Danio rerio: one gene and its partners. The protein of the gene in region 1 purifies or fractionates together with the protein of each later gene. This does not show direct contact. Links are inferred from orthologs where the notes say so. Each region holds a gene or a part of one and is shown in the gene's direction. Other genes may lie near its edges.

What was found. The genes of interacting proteins can lie anywhere in the genome.
Region 2: the proteins of wwox (region 1) and vopp1b purify together in Homo sapiens (affinity purification with mass spectrometry; 3 studies listed by BioGRID and IntAct, with this or other methods). This does not show direct contact. The link is inferred for Danio rerio from reciprocal best matches to the Homo sapiens genes WWOX and VOPP1.
Region 3: the proteins of wwox (region 1) and wbp2 purify together in Homo sapiens (affinity purification with mass spectrometry; 3 studies listed by BioGRID and IntAct, with this or other methods). This does not show direct contact. The link is inferred for Danio rerio from reciprocal best matches to the Homo sapiens genes WWOX and WBP2.

What each region holds. Positions count from the first base shown.
Region 1 is NC_133200.1:39,782,480-39,786,051, reverse strand, and holds part of wwox (WW domain-containing oxidoreductase), read left to right. Parts: intron 1-481; coding exon 482-651; intron 652-3,572. UniProt on the Homo sapiens protein: Putative oxidoreductase. Acts as a tumor suppressor and plays a role in apoptosis. Required for normal bone development. May function synergistically with p53/TP53 to control genotoxic stress-induced cell death.
Region 2 is NC_133199.1:273,615-277,186, reverse strand, and holds part of vopp1b (WW domain binding protein VOPP1), read left to right. Parts: exon of another isoform or gene 1-156; intron 157-1,440; coding exon 1,441-1,518; intron 1,519-1,743; exon of another isoform or gene 1,744-1,790; coding exon 1,791-1,924; intron 1,925-3,237; coding exon 3,238-3,446; 3' UTR 3,447-3,572. UniProt on the Homo sapiens protein: Increases the transcriptional activity of NFKB1 by facilitating its nuclear translocation, DNA-binding and associated apoptotic response, when overexpressed. May sequester WWOX in lysosomal vesicles and thereby regulate WWOX role as tumor suppressor.
Region 3 is NC_133187.1:47,462,591-47,466,162, forward strand, and holds part of wbp2 (WW domain-binding protein 2), read left to right. Parts: intron 1-1,632; coding exon 1,633-1,725; intron 1,726-1,814; exon of another isoform or gene 1,815-1,819; coding exon 1,820-1,969; exon of another isoform or gene 1,970-2,042; intron 2,043-2,195; exon of another isoform or gene 2,196-2,217; coding exon 2,218-2,337; exon of another isoform or gene 2,338-3,572. UniProt on the Homo sapiens protein: Acts as a transcriptional coactivator of estrogen and progesterone receptors (ESR1 and PGR) upon hormone activation. In presence of estrogen, binds to ESR1-responsive promoters. Synergizes with YAP1 to enhance PGR activity.

The sequences.
Region 1 (3,572 bases):
ATTGTTGAAAGATTCCTGCCATGAAAATAGCCTTGGTTGCTGACATGGCACTAAATAAAAAATACATTACATTACATTACATCCTGCCAAACTGAAAGAAATAGGATTTTTACTAGAAATAAAAATATAATGGCAAATACTGTGGAAAAAAAAATCCTAGCTCTGTTGGAAAATATTTGAAATAAAATAATTTTAACCTTTAAAATGGGTTTAAAACTATTAAAAACTGCTTAAATTTTAGCCGGGAAAAAAAAACAATTAAGACTTTCTTCAGAAGAAAAAAACATTATAGGAAATACTGTGAAAAATTCCTGAATCTGTTCAACATCATTTGGGAAACATTTGAAGAAATTCACACGACAATGAATAACTTTGACTCAAGCTATAGTTTTTTTTCCATGTCTCTCCAGTATAATTTTTTTTATACTATTTTATTGATATAATCTGACTTTATTGATGTCTCTTTCCCTCTTGTCCTCAGTCACATCAACAAGCGTAAGACGTATTTCGACCCTCGGCAGGCCTTCACTGTAGAGGACATGCAGGTGAAGCCTAAACGCTACGACGGAAACACCGGCGCTCTGGAGATCCTGCATGGCCAGGACCTGTCCGACAAGGTCATCATCGTCACCGGAGCCAACTCTGGCATCGGTCAGTGTCACAAAACACATATTCATTTAGCAGATACTCTCATCCAGATCAAGATAAAAGAAGAACTGCAGATCACCAGACAGCAGAAATATGTAGTATTACAAACAAGCAGGACGAAACGCACACAGACACAAGCATTCACAAAGAGGCTGAGCTGTGCTTCAGGGTTTGTCCAGCAGGTGGAGCTGCAGGATTGAGGATTTTCACTCCTTGAGTTCTAATCAGTCAGTCAGGGATCAGGTCTATAGATGTGGATGATTATTATTGCAGGTATATTTAACGTGTAAAAATGCTGCTTTTGTGGTGAATTTTATTTCTTAAACTGTGTGACCGCTGTTGATTCACATGTGTTTTGTATAGTTTGTCTTTCCAGGGTGTCCGCTGGGTCTTAAAGTATTGAAAGTTGATCAATTAATCATGAGAAAATTAAGGCTGTTAAAAGATATAAAGTCTTGATTGTGTTTTTACGAGGTCTTAAATTTTGTTCAAGCGTTGTCCAAAGTGCTTGACTCTTGGAAAAGTGTAGGTGGTGGATTAACATTCAGCACATGATCACTAGTAAGATGTCTCATTATTTGTAACTAGATGGTTTCTAAAACTAAACCTGACATTGTTATCTTCATTCATGCACTCGCAGAAATGCTCCCAAATATATTTTAAGGTGGCATAGATAAAATTTCGGGCGCATGTGCGACCAAAATTGTCGCAATTTCGAGCCCTGATATATATATATATATATATATATATATATATATATATATATATATATATATATATATATATATTCGTTTTAAGGTAATTTAATTAGTCACTTATAATATACTTGCTTTAAATACTGCACAGAAAGCCAACAGTTCTGCATGAACCAATTCAGAGAAGCAGAGTTATATATTTTGCAGAAGAACTCAGTGCATGTGTTTAATTCATGACAATATACGGTTTAAAATAGGAAAAGCAGATTAATTAAAAAGGTATATATTTTTAGGTTTTGTTTGTTCAGGTAATTAGCATGTTAACTCAGTTTTTCAAGTAAATTGCACTGCACATTCTTAAAAATCTGTCTTGAATATAAATGTTAAGAAATTACCTCTAGTTTGTATGAACTGTGGTGTCGTTAATTTAAAGAAATGTTTTTTTTTTGAGACGTGCATTGTTTAAAACTTAAGTGTTTTTAATGATTGACGTAAAGAATTTCATGTTTAATTTCTATTGTATGCATTCAGATTACTGTGGATTGTTAGTGGAGTCAAGTAATCAGTAATTAAGTTTTCAGACATGGCAATTAGAAAAGTGATTTAAATGCAATTTTAATGATGTTATTATACAGTTTTAAAACAAACTTGCTCAACACTGACCGGTCAATGCAGAAACGCTGGCTGTAGTGTCTCTGAGCGTTCGCTAGAGGGCAGAGGAGCGCTGTGTGTCGAAAATAATAAATAATAAATAAATAAATGCATGAGAAAAAAAACACAAACTGTCCCTCTAATATCGCTGAACACACCAATAGAAGCGCTTTATCCTATGACAAACATTGCAAATATTTCACAAAATTATTTAAACATTAATCGGCATTGAGTTACTTTAGTTAACTTATTTATTTTAGTTTTTTGTTGCCTTATAATACATTAAAAAAAAAACTCTTAATTTTTTTTTTTTTACATTTCAGTCAAACAAGATGTTTTGGTTTGGTTTTAAAAAATAACACTTAAATTATACGTGTGTGTGTGTGTGTGCATCTAAAAAAAAATATAAATTAAATTACGCCATATTTCATGCTTATTAGTGTCGATTTCTAATACATATCATTGTTTCCCAAGCATGTGCAGTGCAAAAAAACTGACTTTATTTGAAATATCGAGGTAACATCCTAAATATCTGAATAACATTTTTCCTTTATTATTTTAAATTACTCTGCTTGTCTGAATCTAAACCTTATATTATTGTTATTTAATTGTGCATTTTATTTTAAATAAACCATAGTGTATATATATGCAACAATAAACAAACGTTTATATCAATAATTCTATTAACATAAGCGATGTGTTATTTGTAATGTTTTAAAACTCATTTCATGCATTTATGAGTTGTGCACGGTGCTGTACGAGTAAAATAAACACCAACAAAAAGGGAAAAACATCACTAAAATCATAATTCAACCTACAAAATTTCAAAAGGAAATAAGATTTCAACTTCGTTTTAAGCTTGTTGACAGATATTGTAGATATGGAGGAAGCATATTAATTATGTTTTAATATTCATTCATTAATTTTCCTTCAGCTTCAGTAGTTCGTATTCCAACATATGTTTTACCCAGTGGATGCACTTCCAGCTGCAACCCAGTACTGGAAAATACCCATACACACTCATTCTCACACACTGTTTCTCAATTCCGAGAACGGACTTGCGTTCTTGTGGAGAGCGGTCTTGCCAGATGTCCTCGGAAGAATGAACACGGGAGATCACGAGAACGCATCCTGTGAGAAATGAGATGCTGCGTTCTTCCTGATGGTCACATGACCTTCACATATTTTTAATGGAAAATTATTTAAACATTACAGCCTTCATTAAACGATTGATTGTTTTTCCCCTTTTCACAATATATACTGTGCATAAAACATTATAAATATACTCCGCACAATATAAATAAAACTGATTTTAATACAAATTTCAGCAAACAAACAACCTTAATGTGTTTATTGCTTTATTAAGATGTTTATGCTGATGTTCATATTCACCGTTTCATTGAGGGGGAAACTTCAGAGATATGACTGATTTACCTCAGGACTTTAAATTAAATGCTGCGCTTCCCACCACCCAGTGACTTCTGGGACTTCTAGAGCGTGTTCGGTGCTCAAGTCGGCTTCGGTGTGTCCTCTATCAAGAACACATCCGGGAAGTTTCATGCATCCTCTGTTCTTGCA
Region 2 (3,572 bases), on another chromosome or scaffold:
CTTGCTTCCAAAACATGTTCCACATCAAACTGCTTTACAAAGTTTGCTCAATGTCCTCCAAAGTAGCGTTTGAACGCTGTCTGTACACACTGCAGGCCTCTAGCTGATTGGCTTCAGCTGTGATCGACTCTCCTGCAGTGCAGTGGCTAGAATGGCCTATAGGTGGCAGCAGATCAGCCAGCAAGAACACAGCAAAAACAATATAAGATAAATAAGACATTACGGTCACTAATGCAGGGCTCTGACAGTAACTATCTCTGAAGAAATGAGGTAAAAACCCACAGAAACAATGTGATATATGTTTGCTAATACAAATGTTGTATAAAACATTCACAAAATCTGGCACATGTCTGTGTAACCTCACTATTGCTGGATAAAAATAAAACCCTTCAATAGTTCAGAACTGATTGAGATGGTGAGTGAGTACCCTCTGTATTCATGTTGATTTAATCAATATTTCTGAAACAGGATCATCAAATACAAAGAATAAATAAGACAACAACAATACAATAACTTAATATATTATTGTGTATTCAGTGTTGCACAGATTCTCTAACATGCCTCTGGTGCCCACAATGTGCATCCGTTAATAAATTAGGACACACACACCATTAATATAGTTTGATAAAGTAAATAATTACAATTAAATACACTACTATAATATTCCGAAGGTGGCGACGCAGTGGCTCAGTAGGTAGTGCTGTGGCCTCACAGCAAGAAGGTCTCTGGTTCGAGCCTCGGCTGGGTTAGTGGGTGTTTCTGTGTAGAGTTTGCATGTTCTCTCTGTGTTGGCGTGTGTTTCCTCTGGGTGCTCAAACCAGCGACCTTCTTGCTGTGAGGCCACAGTGCCGCCCCTATGCCTTGTTCTATTTGTCAATTTTAATGCGGCCATGCTCCGTCAGTGTAGAGAGTGTTGCTGTAAATATCAGACGGTCACGCTCATTACACTAAAGGGCAGAAACTTTGAAGCTCTTCTGCTAATGAGGAGCTTTAATTACAGACCTTCAGTGGTTAATGAAGCCGTGTTCACCTTGAGGACGTTCACAGCACCACAAACCGACCTGCTCCACCAAAACACGTCAGATCAGCTCACAATCTCATCATTACTTCTCATTTTGTGAGAACATGAACAAAACAGGAAATAACTTGAGTAAATATATTGACCGAGAAGTCTGAGAGATGTTTTGAAGAATGTTCCTGCTGCACCTTATGAAGCATTTAATGAATGAGGGCCGCAAATGAGAATCACAGCAAGCTGAATAAAACAGGACTGAATGTATTTAATCCAGCTTCATCAGCTCATCTGGAGCGCTGCCAGAAGTCTGTTTGTAGAGGATAATATTATAATAACACGTTAGAATAACCAGCACGTGATGATTCATTTATAGCAATTTACAATTGTGTGTGTGTGTGCGCGCGTGTGTGTGTGTGTGTGTGTAGATGCCGCTCATATGAGGACTGCTGTGGAACCCGCTGCTGCATCAGGGCTCTCTCCATACAGAGACTCTGGTACTTCTGGTAGGATCAACTTTTATTAAATAATTCATTAAATGTATTAGATATTTATAAATTTTCCTGCATTAACTACATCTCCTACATTTATTACAGTGGAATAATCTGAGAAGTGGTCAGCAAACGGTTCATTTTACTCAGAAATACATCAGTTTTTAATCTGTGTGTGATTAAATTATTATTAAAATGTCAAATGTAACATTTTAAAGCAGAAATATGGAAAATATGTACTTGAATTAGTGGTGGGCGTGTCCTTCATGACTGCTGCTCTCTGATAGGCTGCTGCTGATGATGGGCGTGTTCTTCTGCTGCAGCGCTGGATTCTTCATTCGCAGGCGCATGTATCCGTCAGTGCTGAGCGACGAGCCCGCCTTCAATGTGTCCTTCACCAGACAACCCGTCAGCACACCTGGTGCCAACACACACACACACACATACTAAACACACACTCAACAAACACTCAACACACATTAAACACCATTCAGATGCTTATTCGGACATTTGAATGTGAAAATAAGGTTGCTAGAAGAGATACAGCAGCGGCCAGAAGTTAATGAGAATTATTGATATTATCTATTAAATTACCCAGTAAATTGTATTTTATTAACGTCTACTCCAACAGGAAGGAGGGTAGAAGGGAATAGAGAAGGAGGCAAGTAGGTAGAGAAGGAGGCAGGAAGGCAGTGAGGGAGGGAGGTGGGGAGGAAGGTAAGGAGGTAGATAGGTAGGGTGGGAGGGAGGTAAGAAGGTAGATAGGTAGGTAGGGAGGGAGATTGGTAAGAAGAGAGGGAGGTAGGTAGGTAAAGAGGGAGGTGGGTAGGTAGGTAAGAAGGGAGAGAGGGAGGTAAGGTATGTAGGGAGGGAGGTAAGGAGGGAGTGAGGTAGGTAAGGAGGGACTGAGGGAGGGAGGTAGGTAAGGAGGGAGAGAGGGAGGTAAGGAGGGAGGGAGGTAGGGAAGGATGGAGGTGAAGAGGGAGGGATAAAGGGAGAAAAAAGGGGGAGGGAGGAATAAAGCTAGAGAAGTTGGAAAGTAGTGAGCTTGACAAACCACTTCTCTAAACCCCAACCCTCCCATTCTCTGCCTTCTTTACCCTACCTTCCTCCCTACTTCCCTACCTTCCTCCCTACTTCCCTACCTTCCTCCCTACTTCCCTACCTTCCTGCCTACTTGCCTCCCTTCTGCCCACATTCCCTCCCTTCCTACGTTTCTACCTCCCTCCTTCACTTCCTACCTTTCTCCCTCCTTTCCTACCTCCCTTCCTCCCCCCTACCTTCCTCCTTCCTTCACTCCCTCTTTCCTCTCTCCTCCGCTACCTTCCTCCCCTTCCTACCTTTCTCCCTCCTTCCCTACCTCCCTCACTCCCTACCTTCCTCTCTCCTATCTTCCTCCACCCCCTCCTTTCTCTCTCCTCCGCTACCTTTCTTCCCTCCCTACCTTCCTCCCTCCTTTGCTACCTACCTTCTTATTGTCCTTCCATATCTTTCTCCTACTCTAGCACCCTCCCTACCTTCCTCCCTCTTTCTCTTTGTTCCTCCCACCTTATCTCCCTTCCTCCTTACCTTCCTCTCCTCTTCCCTCCTCCACTACCTTCCTCCCTCCCTCCTTACCATCCTCTCTCCTTCCCGCCTCCTCTACCGTCTCTACCTTGCATGGATAATGTTGAAGTGTACTCACAGTTCTGCAGTGCTTCGTCTTGCATTAATAAGCTGTTCCTCCTCCTCCAGTGTCTCAGCAGCCAGTGATGCAGGGTTTTGGGGAACCCTGCGTTGGGATGGGGGCGTCTCTGACTCCCGTGTACTCCGGCCAGAGCCCTGCGGCGGCCATGATGAGCTCGTACCCTCCACCGCCGTCATACTGCAACCACCCGCCGCCAGCCTATGATCAGCTGTTCAGTAGCGCAGAGAAGAAGAGCCGCAGCGAGTCTCCGCAGTGAGAAACCACGCTGAAACACCTGCAGGACACACTGCAACATTACAGAGAGGACTTACACTCAGTTCATCTGTGCAAATATGAGGAAATGCATGGCCAAGCTTGAGAAACGGGTCTGAATACTGGTGTT
Region 3 (3,572 bases), on another chromosome or scaffold:
ATTCAACTTAAAAAGTTAAATCAGCAAGATTTTTTAGTGTACTAAAACATTTATTAAAATATGTTCACTAATTGGTGATGCAGTGGCACAGTAGGGAGTGCTGTCGCTCACAGCAAGAAGGTTGCTGGTTCGAGCCTCGGCTGGGTCAGTTGGTGTTTCTGTGTGGAGTTTGCATGTTCTCTCTGTGTTCGCGTGGGTTTCCTCCGCATACTCTGGTTTCCCCCACAGTCCAAAGACATGCGTTGCAGGTAAATTGGGTAGGCTAAATTGTCCGAACTGTTTGAGTGTGAATGAGAGTGTATGGATGTTTCCCAGAGATGAGTTGCCGTTGAAAGGGCAGCTGCTGTGTAAAACACGTGCTTGATAAGTTGGCGGTTCATTCCACTGTGGCGACCCTGGATTAATAAAGGGACTAAGCCGACAAGAAAATGAATGATAAATGAATGTTTATTAATTGTACGTATAAAAGACAACTTAAATGTTAAAAGATCAACTAAGTATAAATAAGATTAAATAAAAATGTAAAGTTGAAGTGCAAAAAAAGCTTACATGAAGCTAAATAGAAATTGAAAACATTAAAGAATATTAAATAATTTATATATAAATTATAATATATATTAAATAAAAATAAAAAAACTACTAAAAATGTGAATGGGCGGCACGGAGGCTCAGTGGTTTGAGTTCTGGCTAGGTCAGTTGGCATTTCTGTGTGTAGTTTGCATGTTCTCCCCGTGTTGGTGTGGGTTTCCTCTGGGTGCTCCTGTTTCCCCCACAGTCCAAGCACATGTGCTATAGGTGAATTGGCCACTAAATTGGCCATAATGTCTGAGTGTATGAACGTGAGAGTGTATGGGTGTTTCCCAGCTCTGGGCTGCGGCTGGAAGGGCATCCGCTGTGTAAAACATATGCTGGAATAGTTGGCGGTTCATTCCGCTGTAGCAACCCCTGGTAAATAAGGGACTAAGCTGAAGGAAAATTAATGATTGAATAAATGAATGAACGAATGAATATACATTCATTCATTCATTCATTTTCTTGTCGGCTTAGTCCCTTTATTAATTCGGGGTCGCCACAGAGGAATGAACCGCCAACTTATCCAGCAATTTTGTTTTGCGCAGCGGATGCCGCTCCAGCTGCAACTCATCTCTGGGAAACATCCACACACACACACTCATACACTACGGACAACTTGGCCTACCCAATGCACCTGTACCGCATGTCTTTGGACTGTGGGGGAAACCGGAGCACCCGGAGGAAACCCACGCGAAAGAAGGGAGAACATGCAAACTCCACACAGAAATGTCAACTGAGCCGAGGTTCGAACCAGTGACCTTCTTGCTGTGAGGCGACAGCACTACCTATTGTGCCACTGCCTCGCCTGAATAAACATAAATTAACTAAAAATAAAAAATGTAAAAAAAGGCAGTTTCGTATACCATGTGAACAGACAAAAGTAATCAGATCAAGACTCTTCTTGAATTTTGATTTCAATCAAATGTAGAGTCCTGGTTTGAGTTAATCTGAACATGAAAAGGAAGCACACATGTACTTGTGTGGAAGTAAACAGATCTACAGTATAGCATGTACTGTAAATATACTGTAAATACAAGTGTGTTTGCATTATTGTTCCAGGTGGTTGGGAAGGATCTGCAACCTTCAAGCTGATCTTTAGCGCTGGAGGAGCGATCGAGTTTGGTCAGCGCATGTTACATGTGGCAGAGCAGGGTACGTTTGTGCTCAACCAGTTTCAAAATAAGAGTCTCATCATTAAGCAGTCAAACTGATGTGGATGTGCATGACCTCTCTTTCTTTACCTCAGCATCCAGAGGGCAACCGGTGACTGTAAACTTCGGCTGTCCTTACATGGCGAACGGTGCGTACGCTTTTCCTCCACCTCCTCCTGCTAACGGCATGTATCCTGCCGGGCCTCCTCCACCTGGATACGCCTACCCTGGACCTCCACCTCCAGGTAATAACATGCACTTAAAGTCCACATCAACTGGAAGCTGCGACCGTTTTTCTTTCAAATTGTGACGCAGTTCCTAGAAAAACAGAATATTAAACGAGCAAACAGTGGGCGTGGCTTGTTTTTTCTTCTGCGATCTGATTGGATGTAGAAAAATTGGTGTTTCATTCTGAAAGATGGTGAAAAGAGTTTGGGGAGCATTATTACAACCTCACAGTCTCCTCCTTACCATGTTATTTTGTGTGCTTTAGGTGGGTTTTACCCCAGTCCTCCTGTGTTTGATGGACCAGCAGCCTACATGCCTCCTCCTCCATACACTGCTCCAGTGGATCATGCTCCGCTCGACCCAGACCTGCCCAGAACCGCTGCTGGTATGACCCACTTCTAGAAGATGCTGAACTTCTGCAGCCGGATTCTTAAAGGGATAGTTCACGCAAAAAAAGAAATTTGTTTACCATTTATTTGCACTCAAGTGGCTCTAAAGCTGGAATTATACTTGTGCCTGGCGCCGCATCGCGCACCTTTGCTGACTGCGTGCGCACCTCGCAAAACGGATGAGGCTTTTATACTCGCCGCGTTCGCCGTTGTGATAATCTTTAAAACGACAGGGGCGGTCAAAAGAAACCCACCCTAAAATCAGACGAATAAACAGAGAAGTTTCTGGAAGTACGTCATATCATAATGTCGTTCAATATTTTTAAACTAATTATTTTGTATTGTTTTTATAAAGTATTTTAATGATTATAAGCATTTTTATAACCATTTAAGTCTTTTTTAATCAAACTTTAATGCATCACTTGCTTTTGTCCATAACTCGGACAGTTTTACTTTTTAAAGCTTCACAAGAGAACATGAGTTCCTCTACAAATATATCTTTATTATGGCAAGAATAAAAGCAAAAAATAAAAAGTACACTTACTAAAAAAATACAGATTTATTTTTTTTTGGATTTAGCCCGATCCATAAACATACGTTAGTGTAAAAGCTATGACTGATGGAAAAACATATTCTGTAATTGTATACCTGAGTCTTCAATTTTGCCATGATTTCTTTCGGCATAAACAAACTTATCCCTCAGGTTTTTCCAATTTTTTTAGCATAAACTTTCCTCCTTTCCCACTGCTGTTGTTATTTCTAGCAAATTATTATTGGTCATCACTTGCTTTTGTTTATATCTCGAACAGTTATACCTATTACAATTTATTAAAATATTAATGACAACAGAACTTGAGTCGCTCTACAAATAAATGTTTTATTATCGCAAAAATAAAAGCAAAAAAAAAGCACACTGACTAAAAAATACAGATGTTACACAAAAATACACAATTCACACATTACTGTCTGGCTAGTTTCTGTCCTCTACTTATGCTAAAAAGGAAATGATGGTCCAACATTCCTGACCATTATCACCAGTAAAGCCCAGAGAAGCAGGCCATCAGTATATCTATTCCTTTCCAGTTATCAAAAATAATTTTATGACTTCATCATAGTTTTGTAACTATTAAATAGTTTTTAATACAAAATTAAACTAAATACATGCGTGTAAAAACCTATGACTGGTGGAAAAACATTCTGTAATTGTGTACATTTTGTCATGGCCTCTCTT